Linked DNA regions of Alligator mississippiensis. The protein of the gene in region 1 binds, or shares a complex with, the protein of each later gene. Links are inferred from orthologs where the notes say so. Each region holds a gene or a part of one and is shown on either strand. Other genes may lie near its edges. The genes, in order: ACVR2B and GDF2.

Region 1 (10,858 bases):
AAAAGCACCCTATTCAAATTTGCTGACGACACTAAGATGTGGGGGGATGTGAGCACGCTAGAAGGGAGGAATAGGCTGCAATTGGACCTGGACAGGTTACAGGGGTGGGCAGATGAGAACAGGATGGGTTTCAACACTGACAAGTGCAAGGTGCTGCACCTGGGGAGGAAGAACCAGCAGCATACCTACAGGCTGGGGAACTCCCTTCTAGTCAGTGCAGAGGCAGAAAAGGATCTTGGAGTCATTATTGATGCCAAAACGAACATGGGCCGTCAGTGTGGGGATGCGGTCAGGAAGGCTAACCACACCTTGTCATGCATCTACAGGTGCACCTCAAGCAGGTCCAAGGAGGTGATCCTCCCCCTCTATGCGACACTGGTCAGGCCGCAGTTGGAGTACTGCATCCAGTTCTGGGCGCCGCACTTCAGGAGGGATGTGGACAACATGGAGAGGGTCCAGAGGAGGGCCATCCACATGATCAGGGGACAGCAGGGCAGGCCCTACGAGGAGAGGCTACGGGACCTGAACCTGTTCAGCCTCCACAAGAGAAGGCTGAGGGGGGATCTAGTGGCCTGTTACAAACTACTCAGAGGGGACCAGCAGGCATTGGGGGGAGTCCCTGTTCCCCCGAGCACTACCAGGAGTGACTAGAAATAACGGTCACAAGCTGGCAGGGGGTAGATTCAGACTAGATATCAGGAGTCGCTACTTCACTGTCAGGGTGGCTAGGATCTGGAACCAACTTCCAAGTGAAGTGGTGCCGGCTCCTACCCTGGGGGTCTTTAAGAGGAGGCTGGATGAACACCTTGCTGGGGTCGTTTGACCCCAGTACTTTTTCCTGCCATGGCAGGGGGTCAGACTTGATGATCTGCTCAGGTCCCTTCCGACCCTACCAGCTATGAAACTATGAAACTATGAAACTTTTTTTAAAAATTATGGCTGTGCACAAGAACCTCAAATGTTCCCTCTTTCAGACCTTCTTGTATGTTGGCTCAATAATATGGGAAGGGGTTAATTACACTCGCCCCTTTTTATCCAGTTTGCATTGTTGTGCAATATATATTTTGAACCAGGTACAAAGAAGTTGAAGGGCATTTTTAGAATGATTTCTGATCAGGAACTGCAGTTGCGAAGGTTAACTTAGCGCAAGCTGCATCTAGCCAGAGTTTGCTGTCTGAGGGCCTCACTACCAACCTGTTGCAGGTAATGGGAGTTTTGCTTTATATTGACTCAGATGGTCAGAAGCTCCTTCTGATTTTTAAATGAGTAGTCTTACAACCTGGAATGAAACTATACTGAACTAAAACTTAAATCCAAGTTCAAGCAATTAAAGCAGAACTCTCTCCTTCTCAGCAGGTTCATGCTTCATACATAACACATTTTTTATTCCAGTAGAAATTGTTTTATTCCCCAAGCAAGTGACAGTTCCTAATTTCACATGGACTACAACTAAGTTCGAAGGTGTGAGATGGCAATGGAACTTTTTTGGGGTATGAACAACCAAAATACTGTTGTCATGTCTTCACTGTTAATATGCCTGGGTCTGGGACCATATTGTCCCACATACCACACCCCCCCAAAAAAGACATGTACCTTATTTTGGGAAGGCAGAATGAAGAAAAAAACATTCTTCCAGAGTTATGACCACAGACACAGGGAAAGCTGCCTCACCTACCCTTTCCTGTTCGGGCAAAAGCTACAGTTTTAACCCTTTCACAGCTGGATTGTCAGTGGCTCTTGGCTGCTTAAGCAAAAGCTGAAACTGTAGCTGCTGCTGAAGACTGGACTCCATGAGCAGATCTAGGATTTTGAAAAGCGCTAAAAACCATCTTCAGGGCTGTGAAACAGGAGAAGAAAGGCTATCTTAATTAATGGAACATCAAGACCATTAAGAAGGAGAGAGAATTGTTAACACCTGTTGAATGGAGAGCAATTAACAGAAATCAAGTAGATTATAATGAACCATGAAGTCAATTGACTCCTTCAGCCCTGCCTGAATAGAAATGCCACTGCTGCTATTCTGAGCAGATCACCTTTCCCACTTAGGACACGCACCGTAATTTTCAATGACTAGTTTTTGGGGGAAATGTGTTTGTGGTATGTGAGTAAAGATGGTATTTTGCTGCTTTACTATATCAATGTGTATGCTAGAAAGATGGAGCATTATTACAACATTTGTAGTCCCAAAGCATAAAACAGTTTCAGCTGACTAAAGTTTACATACCTCAGTGTTTCTTGCTAGGATAAATAAATCAGTTAAAAATAAACCAAACCATGCAGTCCTCAATCTGGCAATTATAACTGCATGAGGAGATCTGGGATTCCCATTGATATCTGTGGGGTTCCACTTGGCAAAAGACTCCAACTAGATGGATTTAATTTTGGGAATTAAATATTTGTAAGCAAGGTGGGGTTTTGTTTGTGCGCTTGCTTGTTTTTTACTATTGGATTAGGAGAGGGAAAACAGTTTAAAATGAGCTGGTACTTTCACTATAAAGTCTTGATTAAAGCACTGCACAATACTATCAACTCGATACCCCTAGACCTCTTTTGTATCAGGACTTTGGTAACCTCCAGAGAACGGCAGAAAATATAAAAATGTCCTGCTGCTGAGGTTAGTGACAATCTTGAGTGAATGTTAATTTTCTTAAGGAAACAAGTTGCAAGTTTAGAAAAGAGTTTATCTTTGTATGATGATACATGCTCAAATATGAAACAGTGTAATAAAGCTGTACTGTGGTGTCTGCCTGACACACTGACTCTTGGGGTACTTCTCTAAGTGTGAAGCCAAAGAGGCTTGAATCTCCATTGGTTTGCACATTGCATTGTCATTGTGTAAAGTAAGATCAGTGCACAAAGTGCAAGGCAGTGAAGAAGGGAGTATATTTGGTGCTAACTGTATCTTGCAGGGGAGCCTGGGACCCTGGAGGTTTGAGACTCATGGCAGTGTTGAGTGGTTGGAGCAGTGGATGGGGATTCAGGACCTCTGGTTCTATTTTTAACTTATTCAGTGGCAATAAGTGACTCACCTAATCCCTCCTGGCCTCTTTTTTCTCACAAGTGGGTTGTGTAGCTTAACCGATGAATGTAGTTTGAGATCCTTATATGCAAAGAGCAAGCTTATGCCAGTTTCTGTGGGATTGTGCTTGAAGTGGCTGTATGTAAGAACGTGGTTGCCAGCGAGACTGTAAGATTGGATACAAGAGAACTGGTTCTCTGTGTGAGCTGCCCGTACGAGCGGCTTGTGTATTAGTCATGAATAGCTCCGACACATTTAAAAATGCAGGCTTGCAGTCATAGAGATTTGCTGCTTAAAGAGGACCTGGACTTGTAGGCTCATGTTGGTAAGCATTCAGGAATCCTGATATAGCTGCACCCCTTTTTGTGAATGCAGGTTTTGAATTGAGGTGAAAAGAAGAGAATGCTTCCAAGGCACCTCTGCAAACATGCTACCCCATGTAAGGAGATGCTGTTCCTAGTAGACTGGGAGATGTTCACTATCTAATAGCATATACTCCTGAGCTTGTTTCTCCCTCTGCAAGGCTCAAATATGCCAATGTGCCCTGCCAAACCCACTCAGCTGGACTCCTCGACCAGGGAATTAAAATGTGGTGGCATCTCCAAAATACCAGCCCTTCACGGGCATCCAAATCAGATTTCCCTCAGAGTAAGTTGCGTAGATCTGCGACCCTACCTCCCCTTTCTGAGGTAAGGGGTTAAACAATTCATGATGCTGACAATAAATCATCATCGTGGAGATGCATGCAGAAGTTCATACCTCTCAGAACTGTTGTCCCAAACTGCTTCATTGCTGCATACAGTTCATATTTTTAAAGCTTTTTTTTTTCACAACCGTAACAGCTAGAAGCTCACTTAAACAGCGAAGCTGTGCATTCGTAGAATAAGTTATTTTCAGGGACATGTTGGCATGACTTATGGGCATGTTCTGGTTGCTTCCGAGCACTGTGCTGTCTAGATATGATGGTGTATACTCTGTTTTCTTTGTAGAAATGGTACATCTCATTTTAGCTAATTGTAGGTGGGGTGGCAGGGAAATGAAATATTGGACGATATTTTGCTGGTTTATGCATTCCTCCATCTCTTTCTCTGTCTCCCTCAAGTTTTTAAAAATGGGACATACTCCTTGATTTTGTAACCAATGTAGGCTTTGAGGCCACTTATCTGTTGTCACCCCTCCAACCCTCCAGCAACCGAGCGCTACTTTGTATTGCTCCCACAGGGGGCCAGGTCTCATCTCCTCAGAAGCTGCATTGCAAATAAGTCTCCAATTCCCTCATTCGTGGCCCATCTCCATGGCTCATTCAAGGGAGTTATTTACAATGATAAAAATCCATCACTGCTACCTCCTGATTAACCACGTTACATCTCCAAGATTAATAGTCCAAGCCTAGAAACCACCACTGCTCCCCTTGTTCATTTTCTATGACAGATGCAGCCTTCTCCTAACTCTCTCTTCCTTATATTTCCTGATTTGGCCAGGTAGTAAACCTTACCAGGTAACCCCATCAACAACTCTGTCCCCTAGAAACATTTTTAGCATGTGCTGTCTGCTCTGCAGGAGTGTTTTCTTTCAAGAGCATTGTCTTTGCTTCTTGCACAGTGCTTCCATGAGCTTCATAAAGGTGCTTTCCATTTCATCCGTGCCAACTGCCCTGCCTTGACTGTAATGTTTCTGAAAGTTTATTTAAAAACACAACTGCTTTACACTCTCAAGTGCATTCTGCTTTCCTAATCAAGTCACAAGGATTGCTTGTTTATATGAAGCTCCTTATTGCGTGTGTTGAATTAGTATCTTTACAGACTAGGATACTGTTGTGCCAGGTGCTGTACATGTAGAGAATAGCAGCATCGTTTATGCCCCAGGGAGAAAAGCTTTCCAAGACTGCCTCAGGGGTTTAGGTTGTAAACCTTTCCAAGACTGCCTCTGCAATCCAGTAAAAACAGGTGTATTTCTTTTTGGAACAAAATGCTCACATTTTTTTAAAGGAATGATTCATAGTTACTCTTATCTCCTTCCATAGCAAAGAGAAATGATTTATAAATATTTTCAGCTTCACTCCCCACTGGATAAATTAATGAGCTGACCTGCACTTTGCTGCTCTCCATGCTAAGCCCTGTTGGCGTTCGGAGCGTGATGAAGCACTCCGTCTCCTCAGATCGCTCAGTGGGCTTATCAAACTGAAAACCTCAGGCAAGCTTGAACTTTGGCGTCTCCCTTTCCTCTGGTTCAAAACTTAGGAGCGGCTTAATGCTGTGCCATGGGATAGTGCCAAAGGATCCAAGAACAATTTGCTTCCTTGTGTCTGGTTCAGAACAGCGACTTCTAGGAGACTAAGGAAAGCTATGAAGGCGATTCCCAATTCCCTGCAGAACTCCTGCCCGCCGTCTTTGCCGGCTCTACTCCACCCTCAACCTTCTTACGACACGGTTAGCAAAAGTTAAAACGTCTTATTTCACGGTTAAAAAAAAAAAGTATAACGAGCCTAAAATACAGAAGTGACACTACACGATTTGGACTCTTTGCTCTGGGATCGTACAGCACCAAACGCGCCGAGGTCCCGGTTCAGGATTAGGGGCTCCTAAGCAGCACCTCAACACGGCGGTTCACAAGTCGGCAGGGACTGGATTTTCCGAAGCCTCTCGCCTCGCACGGAAATCAGGAGGCGTTTCGGCACGGGGCTGGGTCGCTGCAACAGAGGGGGACGGAGACGGACCGCCGTGCCCCTCGAACTCTCTGTGCGAGGTGTCCTTTCTGAACCCGGCCCTCGCCAGTGTACGGCTTCACGGCCTGGCACCCCCTTTGCCACCTCTTCCCCACCCGGCTTGGGGTGGGCGCGGGTTCCCCCTCCTCCCTGCCCCTGCAGCTCTCTCCAGGGGGCTGCTCAGCCCCTCACCCTCTCCCCCCGTCAGCGGGGGCTCTGCCCCCTCAGCACCAGCCCAGGCCGCGGGCAGCTGCGGCCTCGCGCCTCCCGGCCCTGCGCACAGCCGGCCCCGCGCCCCTCCCCGGCTCCCTTTGTAGCAAACATCCGGGCTTCCCCCGCTGGCTCCGCTCCCGCTTCTCCCTTCTTTTTTTTTTTTTTTTTTCCTTCTTCCAAGAAGCCATTTTGGACGCCGTTCAGGCTTTTTTGTGTGTGTGTGTGTGTGTGCGTGTGCGTGTGTGGCGGCGGCGGCGGCGGCGGGGGCGGCTCGCGGCCCCTGCACGCCCTCGCCCCGCGCCATGCCTCGGCCCCCGCGCCGCTCCCGGCCCCTGCGGCCGCCGCCCGCCTCCCCGCGGCTGCCGGGCTCCGCCACGCTGCAAAGTTGGGGGTAGGGGGTGGAGGGGACTCGCCGCGCCGCGCCGCTCCTGCCGCCGCCCCCCGCTTCGCATTGTGCTGCGCGCGTGTGAGCCAGCGAGTGTGTCCCGGGCCGGCGGGAGGAGGGAGGCGTGTGCGTGTGAGTGTGCGGGTGAGTGTGCGTGTGCGCGCACGCACAAAAGCCGAGGCACAAAAAAAAAGAGAAAAAAAAAAAAAAGAAAAAGAAACTCTTGGAAAGCCGGGAGCAGCCGGAGCCGGAGCCGCCTCCATCGGATCCCCGGGGCAGCGGTGCAGGAATTCAAGCTGTTTTGTTTTTTTTTGGTGGGGTTTTTTTGGGGGTCCCCCCCCATCGCATCGCCTCGAGGATCCTGGGGGTTTGGGGGCATCCTTTCTTCTTCTTTTTTATGCTGCTCCTGCTTTTGGGCGGCCGAGGCTCGCGCTCCCCCGCCGGCCGCCCGCGGCTCCCCCGGGGGCCCCCGGCGGGCAGGCGCCGGGCCAGGAGGATGATCGCGCCCTGGGTGACTTTCGCCCTGCTCTGCGGAACTTTGTGCGCAGGTAAGGACGGGGCCGGGGCCGGGGCCGGGGCCAAGCCCGCCCGGGGCTCGGAAACTTCCCGGGCTCGGGGCTGCATTGTCCGGCCTCCGGAGCCGGTGGGTTGCTCTGCCCCTGCAGCTGCCGGGCGTGTGTGTGCGTCCCGCGAAATGTTATGATCCCATAGGGTTTTTATTATTACTATTATTATTATTATTTCACCCCCCATTTCTATTTTTATAAGATGACTCATTTGCTCTGATTTGTGCCAGGCTGATGGAGCGGGTAGAAAGTTGTGCGGGCGCGGAGGGGAGACGGGGCAGGGCAGGGCAGGGCAGGGGGGCTGGTTTAACACCCCGCCACCCCCGGGTGATTTGAAACCCGAGCGCGGGGCGGGCAGGGACCTTGCCTGCCGCGATGGAAGTTCATGTAAACACCGGCGCGGCTCAGGGGCAGGAGGAGAAGGCCACGCTGCTCAGGGATCCTGGCCAAGGTTTGGGACGAGCCCTTGGGTGCTGGCTTTGTGCACCGGGGGGAGGAAAGGAGGTGGTTTTTTTAGCTGGAGCCGAGTCCCGGCCGCTTTGTTGTGCGCTTCCCTCCGTGCCTGCATGGGGAGAGACCTCCCCCCTCCGGGCGGATTGCAGCGCCCACAACAACACGGCTCGTGAGCCTCATGGCTGTTGACGTCCTGGGTCTCGGAAGGAAAAATGCAATGACTTTAAAGTCACTTGCTCCCCCTCCTCCTCCATCACAACATCATCCCCCCCCCTCTTTTTCTTCCAGGGATTTCTATTTTGCAAGGGGAGGGGATGAATTTTCACAGGGCTTTCATTTCATGTGTGCTCCCCCCCAAAAAAACCCCCACAAAAGGCTCCCCCTCCCCTTCCTGGCTTGGTCTTGATTTGATCACCTCTGGCCCTCTGCTAGAGGAAGGGCTGCACGGTCACTTGTTATTTTGTCTCCATTTCCAAGCAGGGTGGTGGTGGTGGGTTTTATTTTGGGGTGTGCACAGAGGCTCACAATAGATGGTTGGAAGGAGGGGTGCTGCAATTGTGCCCTTCCCCGGCTCTGTGCAGGGTGGGGAATGCAGCCTGCTGCTTTCAAATCTTTATTTATTTATTTATTTTTAAATCCAGGGGCACACACAGCAGGCAGGGACACCCCCCCCCCCTTTGTTGCCTGGTTTCCCAGGGGATCCTGGCCCCAGGAGCATCCCCCGGGCTTGCAGGGGGAACCCGGGGGCGGGTTTGTTTTGGAATGTGCTGCGCGCTGAAGGCTGCCAGGCTGGCGCTGGCGTTTCTTTGTTCCCAGTGCCCATTGAATGTGCGGTGCCATCGCCTGCACCCTGTACCATAAACAATGCCTTCTCTCAATGGTTTGAAAGTCGCACCAAAGGTTCTGATGATGCTTGTGTTGGGGAGAGGAAGCAGAAGGACAAACAAAAAAGATGATGATTTGGTGGCGATCGAGCCAGCCAGGGCATTTATGGAACGGATGGGACACTTGTGTGTACAGCTTTGTTTCCTTGTGTTGCAAGGGGGGTGTGAGCGAGCACATTGACGGCAGCGCTGAGTAGGAGCAGGTATTTAGGAAGCAGCCGGATGGCTGGGACAATGGTGTGCCAGCGTGTGCCATCAGGCTTCGGGATTTCTGCGATCGCAGCATCGCTGTCGGCTGGGAAATTCTATTTTGTGCACCGAGGAGATTTATACTCTTTTGAACCTGTTCTTGTTGTGGACCTTTTTGACTCCTTTTAAACTGTGGGGCTCACAAACGGGGGCCGTGTCTGCTCCTAGCATTGCTTCTAGTGACAGAAATATCAGAATAAAAACAAACAGCAAAAGGAAGTTTCTTTAAAAAAAATAAAATAAAATTGACTCTGAAATTTGCCAAGTGCATCAGGTTATTTAAAAAAAAAAAAAAAAGGGAGAATCTAGTAGGATATGATCACCCGGACTCTCCCCCCCGCCCCCCTTGCAATATTAACACAAAAACAGACAGTGTGTGTGTATGTTTGCTTTGAAAGCTCTCTGTGGATCATCAACTTGGAACTTGAGAGTTGTAAATCTCTTTTCATATTTTATCTTTCCCATTTCTTATATTTGGGAATGTATTTAGCCACATGAACCTGTTGCCTGTGCAGTGTTCCTTTTTCTCGTTGAGGTTTAGGAAAAAAAGTTGCAACATGTTGCTTAGGATTCACAGCTCCCCTGCCTTGCAGGAAATATTTCTTGTGTGTGTTATATTTTAGGACCGTGCAAAAGCGGTGGGGCTTTTTAAAACCAGCCCAACCTCCATTGTTGATGGTTTTCAGTACTACCTTGGGTGACTGCAATAAAATAAGCACAGACTGCGGATTTTTTTTAAATATCCGTCATGTGTCTAACTTTTGGAATACCGAATATTTGTTGAGGAAAACATTATGTTCAATTTTTGCCTTTTGTTTGAAAAATCTCGGCAACCCAAATGTTGAGAAATTGTGTTGTAATCTGTGAAATTTAGAGAATGCAGAAGGTGTAAGAGGGTTTGTTTTGCAAAACACATTGCGAACACATTTTGTTGAAACATTACAGTATTTAAACTTGCACCAAAATAAAGTACCACCAGGCAGCAATGAATTGAACATCAGATGGATCTAGGCTCCTCTTTCAGGATGGTGTATTTATTCTCTTCTGCTTGAGAAGGGGACTGGATTCATTAGCTTGCTAATTAAACACAATGAAATGCCTGGCCCAAGGTTAATGGCAATAGCCTTTAAAAAGACAAAACTCTTGAACCTGGTGTCCAGGGTGTGTGTGTGTGTGTATAACAACTTACATAAATACAGTGCGTGTGTATGTATATACATATGTTTATGTGTAAATATGTATGTATAACAACTTGTGTATATATACGCGCGTGCACACATGCTAGATAATGATGCTTCTCGCTAGGACTGAGACAGTGTTAAGGGTTTATTGCTGTATAAATGCATTATTCTTAGCGGTGATACAGAAAGCTCTCAGTATCGTATGCAGGTTGTGGTTTTTTTAAGGGGAAAACAAAGCATCTTATTATGTCTTCCTTGCTGTGGTGGGAGAGAGTATGTGTTTATTAGGCCGAGTTAAAAATCCAGGTTCCCTAGAACAATTAAGGAGTCTAGGGCAAACCCTGCCATCCAGCTGAAGTATTTATACACTGAAATGTGTGCCATTTTCGTGTGTCTTTGAGCAGCCTATCCAGGCACTATCACTTTCCTTACTATCTCATCAACTGAACAGAAACAGCCAATTAAAGCCGAGCTCTTGCAGTACCCACAGTCTTGGCTGTCACCACCCTCCTTTCCACTCTGTTCTCCATCAGCAAAGACATGCCTGTCGTTTTTTTTGTGGTTTAGATGATGCAACAGGCCTATACCTCCCCTGCTCCCACTGCATAGATGCTTCAGAAGAAGGAAATAAGCCCACCTCTTTTTTGTTGTTGTTATTGCTTCTATTTCTGTCTCCCTTTCTGTCCAGCCTGGACAAAATGCACAGCTTGCCCAGCATGGTGATTCAGTGGTCAATTCAAATCCAGCAGGACAACTCAAAGGACTGGGTTGTGGTTGACGGGATTTATACCTTTTAGACCCACTATGCGAATCTGACTTCTTTCATTTGTGCTGCTCTTCTGTCTGTGAGAAGATCTTCAGCCCGCTGTCAGCATCTTATTTATAATAGGAACCAAATGGCATTTTTGCAGTTCCTCTCACATGGAACAAAGTACTGGTTTTAGATGGGGCCATCCATAAAGGGGCTGCGTGCTCCACCCATGTTGGGTATAGTCCTAAGAAGTCAGCTTACCTTTAAAATAATAATATCACTGAATCTTTGTAAGGCATTGCACTCAAAAGCAGTAATTCTGGCCCTTGTGTATTCCAAGGCCTAGTTTCTGATAAATGTACGAAATGTAGCTGTTGCTTCTATTAATCGGCTTTGCGGTGTTGGTACTAAGTTTTGCAGGGGTTCAGGGACTAGAACCAGAGTGCTTTGGCT
Region 2 (10,009 bases), on another chromosome or scaffold:
TCATGGTGTGGGATAGAGACATTGAAGAGCAAGATGTGTTTCTGAAAGGGATTTTCTTCTGATGAGGTCAAAGAAACAACATCTGCAACAGGAGGTTAATAAATGTGATTACTTAACTTCCAACAGATAGTGTGACATAATGCTAATCCAATGAGGAGAACTAATGCTGTTAGAAAGATTTATGTTCCATTTCGGAAGAAACACCCACTCTTTGCAAGGGCCTGGTTAGACTAAAGCTATACCATAATGAATAGCCTTAAATAAAATGGTCTGACTTCATCTGAATGTTAGGAAGGTGAGAAACCCTGACAGAGGTCACTGCTGACACAAACTATATTTAGGATCAAGTTTTGGTGACCAAAATTATATTACATTGGGCATGTAAAGAGTTGGGACTAGGAGTATAAAGAGCCAAAAAGTAGGAAGTACTGGTCAGTAATGGAGATAATACTAGGGCAACCAGGAAGTCTTCAAATTTGGTGGCTTCCTTTAGAGCCTCTGACAGATAGAGTTCCTGAAGTACAGGCAGTCCTTGACTTACAACGTTTCGAGTTACAACGTTTCGCACTTACAATGTTTATAAATTGACACCCTGTTTCAACTTTCTGACCTCAGTTTAAACTTTACAACGCTTGATCCGTTGCAGTGGCATCCAGCAAACAAGTTCGCTGCATCACCCATCTCCCTGGAGAACATCTGTCCAAACTTCCTTGGGCACTTTCTTTAAGAAAGCAGACAAGACTCCAGAAAAACCGGCAGCCAAGACTCCTGAGAAGACTCCAGCCAAGAGCCCTTCAAAAAGTCCAACCAAGAGCCCTTCAAAAAGTGCAGCAAAGTCACCTCAAAGAAGTCCTTCCAAATCAATATGATTGCTATTTACAATATAAGTATATTAATGTAGCTATATTACTCATCTATAATTGATCGAGTGCAAAATTCTGGAGTATTTTTGGTGAAAATAGAGTATCGGGCCTTGGTTCAGGAACCAATCTCCCATTTATAACATTGTTTCTTATGAGAAAATTGGTTCCAAGTTGCAACGTTTCAACTTAAGATGCAGTTTTCAGGAACCAATTGTGTCGTAAGTCCGAGGACTACCTGTACTAAGGCTGAAAATCTACTGGAAGACTGAAGTACAAACTCTGCCTCTATCATTTTGCATTAGGATAAATTCCTCTTAGAAATTACATAGCAAATATATATGCCCTTGTGCCAGCTTTTCAATTCTTTTCAATATCTTAGCATAAAATCGTAACATTAAAAAAAAGTCTTCCTAATATCTTAGCACAAAAACCAGCTTAGATTGGAAGAGAATGAGGGAAAAGAGGTAATCCAAAAGCTTCAGGGTCTTATTACTTTGGGAGGATTGGTAATGAGATAAGGAACAGTTCCCTTCCATGTCCCTGATTCATGTCTTGATTAGATTGGTGGGTTTGCTTTTTTTTTCAGCAGTGCAGAGAGAACTAGCAATCTTTCCTGAAGTCAAGGGGGCTATAGGTATTACGCACTTTGGGAAGATAAGGTTGGCAGTGTTTAAGAGTTCCCACCATCTGATAGCTGTTTGGTGGTTGAAGTAAAATGAACTGATGAACTTTAGTCCAGTTTTTATGAACAAATTTCCATGCCTGTTCAAAAAATGGTCACCTCTAGTCTCATCTGATAGCTGTTTGGTGGTTGAAGTAAAATGAACTGATGAACTTTAGTCCAGTTTTTATGAACAAATTTCCATGCCTGTTCAAAAAATGGTCACCTCTAGTCTGAGCAGAGAATGGGCCCTGGAAACTGTACTCCAGCTCATACTTGTGGGTCAGGGTTAGCACGTTAATAAGGGAATATAAAGGTGGTTATAGTGTTGTTGCAGTGTCTATTCTGTAATTAGAGAAGATTTGATTCTCCTCGGCCTTTTCATTTCCCCATCATTACATTCATTTAACACTCCTTTTATCGCTTCTAATAATTAAGCTTTTATTATTTTTAAATGTTCCACAGACAACACTTTATTGATATGCTGAGCTGGGACGGGCCCAAACCAGAACCCTCAATCCGAACACTCCAGAACTTTGGGAGTGAGGAGTGGTGACCCTAGTTCAAATCCCAAGCTATGTTTTTTACTTGGCTTTTCTCCTGATAAAGTATGGGAGGAACACTGCAAACAGTTGTTCCATAAGAAGGGATAGCAGTTTTAAAAAATGTGAAAGGCTGCACTAACCTAAGAGGGATAAAAAGTGTTCTCCATTGTCACAGAGGGCAGGACACAAGACAGTGGGTTTATTGCAGCAAAGCAGTTTTAAATTAAATCTTAGAAAAAAGGCTTCCTAAAAGTAAGAAACAAAGGAAAACAGAACAAGCTGTCTAGGAAAGCTACGTAAACTCCTGCATTGGAGGTTTTTCATTAAGAGGCTAGATAGACATTTGTCTGGGGTGGTTTAGAAATAAACATACCCAGCATCTATGCAGAGGGTTGGATGAGGGGATTCATGGGGTCCCTTCCAACCCTATGGTTTTATGTTGATGCCTCACGTATAGCTCCAAATTTTTCAACTCAGCCCTAATTCTCTAGCTTTGAGACAGATAACAAAATAACCCTCAATTTTATAGATGTGGTGCCTCATCTGATTCAGTATGAGAAGGAGAGATTGTACAATGTGAAATCAAAGAAAAGAACTAAAAGCCATTATGTTTCATGTAGACCAAAAGAAAATAAGGAGCAGAAGAAAGAACTACAAAACAGACCAGGGCTGGGATTGGTCTAAGGAGCCTATGGGAGTTAGGTATGAAGCTTCCCCCGAATTTCAATAGGAACTTAATACCCAACTCACAGACTGCCTTGTAAATTCCTGTCTGTATTTAAGATGTCATACCTTCAGTACTGAAGCTCCGCACAATGTTGGATGCAGGGATGGAAGACTTGTCCATGGCATATCTGTTGTACAAATCAATCATGAATTGCGGTGGTTCTTCTTTGGTCCTCTCTTGTGAAGGAACCCTAGATAAGTTCAAACTCCTCAGTAAATCTGCCTTCATGTTCTCCAGTAGGCTTCTAAAATTGAGATGCGTCTCACCTTCCATCTCTCCCAGCTCACCAAAGTATATATCAGAATCCTCCGTAACTGATAACTTGCTTCTTTCTTCCAAGGGTTTGCCTCTTGTCAAACAAGCAATGATGTTGAAAATGGACAATGCAGCAAATGTCCCCAAATAGTTCATTTTCCCTATGCTCACTTTCCAATGGTGAAGAAAAGACAGGGCTATTCCAGTTGACTGGAACTCGTCTGATTAGAGCCAGAAGAAAGGGAAACAGAAGGCAAACAACTGAAATGCCCTTTGCAAATCACTTTCTTGAGCTCTTTTGCAGCCTGCTTCAAACCACAGCCTCTTGTCAGTTGTCAAGCAGATTGGTTGTACACTTGCCCTTATCTTAGCCATTGATGCCATGCTTCAGCTTCTGTTATCTAGCAAAGCTCTTAGTTAATGAAGATTCTATAAACATCTGACAAACACATATGGCTTATGGGAAGGACACTGCATACTGTAAAGAATCCACATTTCACTTCAGGGTCATCATTGCTTAATTATGTTTTTTATCATTTCCTTGCCAACAGGGAGAGGTCTAAAGAGAAGCATTTTGGGGGTGGAGAATAAAATTGTGTTTCCCTAAGGAACTACAAAAGCTGAAAAGAGGGGTGGGGGTTAAGAACAAAATGTTTCATTAGCAGTTAGCAAACATTGCCCTCAGATATTTACCCCAGTCCCTTAATTTATTGATCCAAAATCACTCTTCTGGTAGAACTCTGTGCTCTTGCAACACATGATCTCACAACATTGCACACAACCTTAAAATTTCCTTCTTTTTATCAGCTGAGAGCTATTATTTGTACACAGTGAAATATCTGTTTTGTATCAAGTTTGCTTCAAGTTGTTTGTAGATTTTCTATTTTCAGTGTGCATCCTTTGATGCATGGAGAAAAACAGTGTGACTTTATAGCACGTTATGTAATGTATTTTCTTAGATTCATGCACACGAGGTTGGCTAAGTTGGTCCAAGAACAACCAGTTATTGCCTAAGTGATCTCAAAGTGAAGATAAAACTCAGCCTACTAAACCAATGTAGAAAGTAAATGGTTTCTATGACTGTAACGAAGATTATCCATGGATGTTATTGTTTTCCATATAGATCTGGGCCAAAGTAAAAGAAGTGAGATTCGTTAGTTGTGTTTTTTGTATCTCAGGAAGTTAAACTAGTTATCTATATAGCATATTATGATTTGATATTTAATTTGATTGAACTTAACCATCCTAAATGATCTAATCTAATATTATACAACCAGTTTACTTAAACTGCCTTTGTATGATTTTTTAAAGTAGAAATTAACCTGTAGCATGCGTGGATGCCATACCATCTCATTGATACTAGGAGAGCTCAAAACACCTACGCAAAATTACCGCTAAATTTTATCCCTAGTCATTCTTTTCCAGTTTTTTAGCAAAGCATTAGGGGTATGTGAAATGGGCTGTATTCTATTTGGATTGGCCCGAATCAGGACAGTGATTCAATTCGTTAATTCGGATCACTGTCCCCAATTTGGCCGAATCTGAATCTGAAGATTTGATGCTGATTCGGAGAATCTACGATTTGGACATAGACACAGCTTTAAATGTTTTTTCTACAGACCTCAAGGTACCAGGTGGCTCATCAATGCTGCAATGGTTGGGCAGATGGAGCATCCCACAGGAGCACAGGGGTCCCCCACGTGCTCGGCAGCAAACCTGGAAGTGGACCGGAAATGCTTCTGGTCCACTTCCGGGTCTGCCAGGGAGCACGCTGGGGGCCCCCCCTGCACTCCCCATCTCGGCAATCAGTCACGGGGGGACCCTCCAGACTCAGGAGGCACCAGTTGCTGAGCCAAGCGGGAGCATGGGGTGGGGGTGGGAGGGGGAGGCAGCATCTCCCCAGTGGATCTGGAAGTGGACTGGAAGTCCTTCTGGTCCACTTCCGGGTCTACTGCTGAGCACTCTGGGGACCCCCCTGCACTCCTGTGGGATGCTCCATCTGCCCCACCATCACAGTGCTGATGAGCCGCCTGGTACCTTGAGGTCTGTAGAAAAAACATTTAAAGCTGTGTCTATGTCCAAATCTCTGAATCTTTCTGAATCTGTCCGAATCGATTCGGAGGGTTCCGATTTGATTCAGAGAGATTAAAGGGTCTCCTGATTAAATTTGGATTTGAAGATTTGGCCACCGAATCGGGCCAAAACTCCACCAAACTGAATCAGGGGCTGAAGCTTCACACAACCCTACAGAGCATATCTTCCTTTACTCTGCTTTTATCTGATTTGTCACAGGACACTAAGGTGCCCTGCTCCTAGAAGAGCAGGAAAAGCAGGAACTGCCTGGGGAGAGCCCAAAGAGCCAGGCAGGAGCCCAGATGCAGGTTGCCATGGCAACCGGCTAAGGTGGAAATTAGTCAGCACCTGTACCTGGTCAGCTGGCAGGAAGGGGCAGGGCCTTAGGCCCATATAAACCCAGGCTGAAACTAAGGGAGGCAGTTCTCTGCTGGTGGCTAAGGGGGAAGGAGCCCTCTTAGAATGAGAAAGGAAAGAGGCCTGACTAACCTCTGCTCTGGGTAATGGTAAAGGGGCAGAGCACACCTTTGGTAGCCTATGTTAAGTTATAGCTCAGGGGCTTATGTTTTGTTTGTAGTTTTATAAGACCGGTGGTTTGGGTGAGGCTATTTGGGGAAGAAGGAGGCCTCACTGGGGGCCCACTACAGAGTGGAGACCCTGGTGCCAGAGAGGGCGCAGCATTTGGTGGGGGCACAGACTCCAGCGCCAGAGAGGGCATGGCATTTGGGGTGCACAGACTCCAGCGCCAGAGAGGGTGCGGTATTTGGGGTGCACAGACCCCAGCGCTGGAGAGAGCGTGGCATTTAGGGCGCGGAGACCCTGACACCAGAGAGAGTGCAGCATTTGCTGGGGGCACAGACCCCGGCGCCAGAGACGGCGTGGCATTTGGGGGTGCAGAAACCCCGGCACCAGAGGCGCGGCTTTTGGGGGTGCAGAGACCCCGGTGCCAGAAAGGGCGTGGCATTTGGGGTGCAGAGACCCTGGCGCCAGAGAGGGTGCAGAGACAGGGCTGCGGAGAGCCCAATGTGGACAAGGGACCAAATTATAATGAGGCCAAGGCAAGACAATGCCAGCACCATCTGTGAGGCTTAGGGCATGGTAAAAGGGCAGTTGGAGCCATGCATATAGCCCATAAGGCTAGGGTGCCCCGAAACACCCATTGTGGAACGAGACCCACAAGGGATCTGGGAACCCACAGGGTTCAGTAAGTCCATCAAACCGTGTCCAAGAGGACTTAAAGGCAGCTTCCCTATTTTCATATTTTTCATCAAAGACGTGGAGTGAGAACTGAGGGTGCCCATCGGGCCACATTGGCATGGTCAAGGGGCTTTAGGAGAACACGGCCATCCTTAAGGACCCCATCCCGTGACATGATTCTTCTCCAGTGACATGCAAATCTTGTTTTCTGGACTTGTAGTTTTTAAGGCCAGATGTGACATGAGCTCATCAAGTCTAACCTCTCATTTAGCACAGGGAATAACATTTCAGTGACGTTGCCCCCTGTATTAAGCCAAGTAAATTATGTCCGAATAAAACATAACTTGTTTTTGGCTAAGGCACATCTTTCCAAAAGGCATCTAATCTTGAGTTAAGAGATGGAGAATCCATCACTTCCTTAGGGATTTTGTTCCACTGGGTGATTGTCATTACTTAAAAAAAAATTGTGCCTACTTTAAAATTTAAATTTGTCTTGCTTCAACTTTTAGCCTTTGATCTTGTTATGCCTTTCTGTATTATATTAAAACACCTTTTCATGCATGGTATTTTCTTGTCATTAGGGTACTTACATAATAAATAAGTCACCTCATAGACTTTTTTTCTGATTGAATTCTCTTGGCATGTCTACACATGCAATTAATGCGACTGAATAAACTTTGGTACAATTTGAGCTGGAGTAAGCTAATCCTGACATCACCATCTACACATGCACATAAGCACAGTAATTTATTCCACCTTCAGATAGTACTTGTGTCAGATGGGACTATCTGAGAGTGTAGTAAATAAATCTACATTGACCTAACTGCCACACGTGTAGATGGTGATGTTTTACTGAGCACGTTTAGAGGCACCCTCTGAGTCTCTCTCTGTAAGGTGATTTCTCCACCCATCAAATAATTTTTGTTGCTCTTTTCTATATTGTCTCCAGTGGTTCAATATCCTTTTTAACATGTGGACACTAGTTCAGTATACAGTATTCTAGTGTTCATCCACCAGTGCGGTATACAGAAGTAAAATTACCTCCCAGCTCCTACTCACTATTCACCTGTTTGTATTTAGCAATAACATCACTCTTTTTGCCATTGATTTACCTTCAAAGTGCATGTTAAACTTAGATCATACTAAGGACACTTAAAAAGTGAGCATCCACATGTTAAAACTCATTAATTCTAGTTAAGTGCCTTCTGAGCATCTCAACATTATGCCACTTCAGGAGAGGGTTAACTCTGGCCCATGCTACTTAGAAAAATTTAGGGTAAATTCAGTCTGCTCCACAGAGATAAAATGAGTCCTCTAGCATCCCAGGATGCACTGCTGCCTTGCATCCTCAGAACGGGGATAGACCCCAGGTGTCTTGGCTCTCATGGCCCTGCTCACCAGCCCTCCAGTGTCAAGTCAGAGTTATGCAGGCAAGGAACAGTATTAACTCATAATGTGTAACTGCTTACAGCACATTCTGTTTTTAAAATTGGTTAACATTCCACAGATTTAGTATGGTCTAAATGTAATGTATAACTTCAGCCTAGGCCTGATGTAGCCTTTTGTTCAGAGGTTCTATGAAAATATATTTCCCAGTGAAGTCAATAGGAGTAGATTATATTAGAATCAGCTTCTGGAGAAAGTATTTCCCTGATACAGGCTCTTTCTTATGCTCCATCTCCAAACTACCCCCTTCCCACTGCAATAACTGAAACACCACATTCTAGGGCAAGCCTTCTAAATGCCAAGTGATTTTGGACTCCAAACTTTACACAACTTATGGATCCTGGTTTTCATAGGATGTGTTCTAGACACTGGCTCAAGAACAGGCCCCTTTTAAAGTATCTCAGGTAAGATAACCACACATTAAAGTTCCTTAAATCAATCATTGCTTTTGAAAAATCTTGGCCTAGGCCTTTTCTGCACTATAAAATTGACTGGTATAGCTTTATTGACAGAAAACCTTCCCAGTCTTCCAAGCAGAGACTCAGATTATAGCAGGAAAAATGTCCTTTCGCTGATATGTCTCATTCTGTTTCCTTAAATGAAATAAGTTATACCAGCAAAAGAACTCTTTTGCCTACATAAGCTGTGTCTCCATTAGAAAGGTTTGCAAGCACAGCTGCATCAGTCTGAGGTGTGATTTTTTTTTCTGCAATCTAGCTGACAGCTATGCCAGCAAAAATTTTAAGTGTTGACCATGTTCTTTAAAGTACCCTCGCTGTGTACAGAAGAGGGACTTTTACCTACAAACATATTGAATCAAAGATTTGTGTTTCCTTCTCCTAGTCACCTGCATCATCATGACTTGGAAAGCAAGTCTGTGACCAAGGAACAGTTCAGGATGTAAAATAGGCTCCCTAAGGAAAACAAAATGTAATAGACCAGAACATAAATACACTAGACCAACGTGTCATTCTAGCCAGATGTTAAATGGGAACAAGGCCATGTCTGTGGGAAAAGATGAGTATTTGTTTAGGACAGTATAGGCAATGGTTTAATATATTTTTTTTAAATTGCAAAAAAGGTCTACACTCTAAGCTGTAACTCAGGTATAGCTATTGCATCATATATTATGGGTCTGGTTCTCGTCTTGTTTACACTTATGTAACTCCATCAACTTTAATGAAATTCTTCCATATTTATAACAGTGAAAAAAGAATCAGACCCTATCGGCACCAAAGAATGCATGAGATGCTCATGTTAAGCAAAATGCTTTTGTTTTTAACCTTCTATTTTAAGGTGAGTGGTTTGACTCTCCATAAGATTAACATACTATTTTTTAATATTGCTAACAACACTTATATGAAGTATGATAGTGTTATTACCACCATTTTACAGGTAGAGAGTGGAGGCACATAAAAGCTAGGACCATAAAAGGAGCTAGGTGTCTAAAATGTGATTTAGGTGAGTCTTGATATGTGAGTCTAAAACTTAGAACCTCAAAGCATTTGCTCAGCTGTCACCGAACCCTGGAATCACTTATATTCTAGATGTAGAGAACTAAAGTTCAGGTACTTAAAGTTCTGCTTCTGGACATGCCCTGAAGCAGTTTTATCATGATGGGACTGAACAGTTCAGCACTTGGCCCACCTAAGCCATATCAAGATTCCCAAACTAGGCAGCAATTTTCAACCAGGGTGCTGTGACTTTATGCTTGATACAGAAGTTACTGGGTGAGGTTCTTTGGCCTGTATTATGCAAGAGGTCAGACTAGATGATCATAGTAGTCCCTTCTGGCTTTAATCTATAAATTATATTGTGACAAGCATAGCCTGGACATTCCAAATAAGATAGCATTGCTTTTCCTCTAATTAACAGAATACAACAATGTGTATTTATAGAAAGACATTTCAACTATTTTTAAATACTACTGTACCTTAATTTATTAGCTTTTGTTAAAAGCAACCTAAAGGATATAAAGTATAATTTACAAAAATATAAATCTTGGTTATTTTTTAGTATTTAAACATATTACTATATAGTATGTGTTATTCAGAGAATACATATGTTTAAGAACCTGAAATTAACCAGCACAGAAATGACGGTGGGATAGTGTTACATCTTTTGTAAAACAAAGTATATATTATGGAAAGGTAACCAAAAATAGTTATATTAATATACTGAATATATAAAAGCTTATACAGTGCACTACATTTGAATCCTGAAGAAAAATATGTATATTAAG

Evidence for each region.
Region 2: the proteins of ACVR2B (region 1) and GDF2 are in contact, whole or in part, in a crystal structure (PDB 4FAO), measured with the Homo sapiens proteins. The link is inferred for Alligator mississippiensis from reciprocal best matches to the Homo sapiens genes ACVR2B and GDF2. Residues at the interface, in NP_001097.2 of Homo sapiens: Asn35, Glu39, Cys49, Glu50, Glu52, Lys55, Leu57, Tyr60, Ser62, Arg64, Val73, Lys74, Cys77, Trp78, Leu79, Asp81, Phe82, Asn83, Glu94, Gln98, Val99, Phe101; in NP_057288.1 of Homo sapiens: Arg333, Ile346, Ala347, Pro348, Lys349, Glu350, Tyr351, Glu352, Lys397, Ser399, Pro400, Ile401, Ser402, Val403, Leu404, Lys406, Gly410, Val411, Pro412, Thr413, Leu414, Tyr416, His417.

The regions. Positions count from the first base shown.
Region 1 is NC_081828.1:208,209,062-208,219,919, forward strand, and holds the start of ACVR2B (activin receptor type-2B), read left to right. Parts: upstream 1-6,166; 5' UTR 6,167-6,718; coding exon 6,719-6,869; intron 6,870-7,226; exon of another isoform or gene 7,227-7,262; coding exon of another isoform or gene 7,263-7,338; intron 7,339-10,858. UniProt on the Homo sapiens protein: Transmembrane serine/threonine kinase activin type-2 receptor forming an activin receptor complex with activin type-1 serine/threonine kinase receptors (ACVR1, ACVR1B or ACVR1c).
Region 2 is NC_081829.1:20,539,594-20,549,602, forward strand, and holds the start of GDF2 (growth/differentiation factor 2), read right to left. Parts: upstream 5,084-10,009; 5' UTR 3,208-5,083; coding exon 2,862-3,207; intron 83-2,861; coding exon 1-82. UniProt on the Homo sapiens protein: Potent circulating inhibitor of angiogenesis. Signals through the type I activin receptor ACVRL1 but not other Alks. Signaling through SMAD1 in endothelial cells requires TGF-beta coreceptor endoglin/ENG.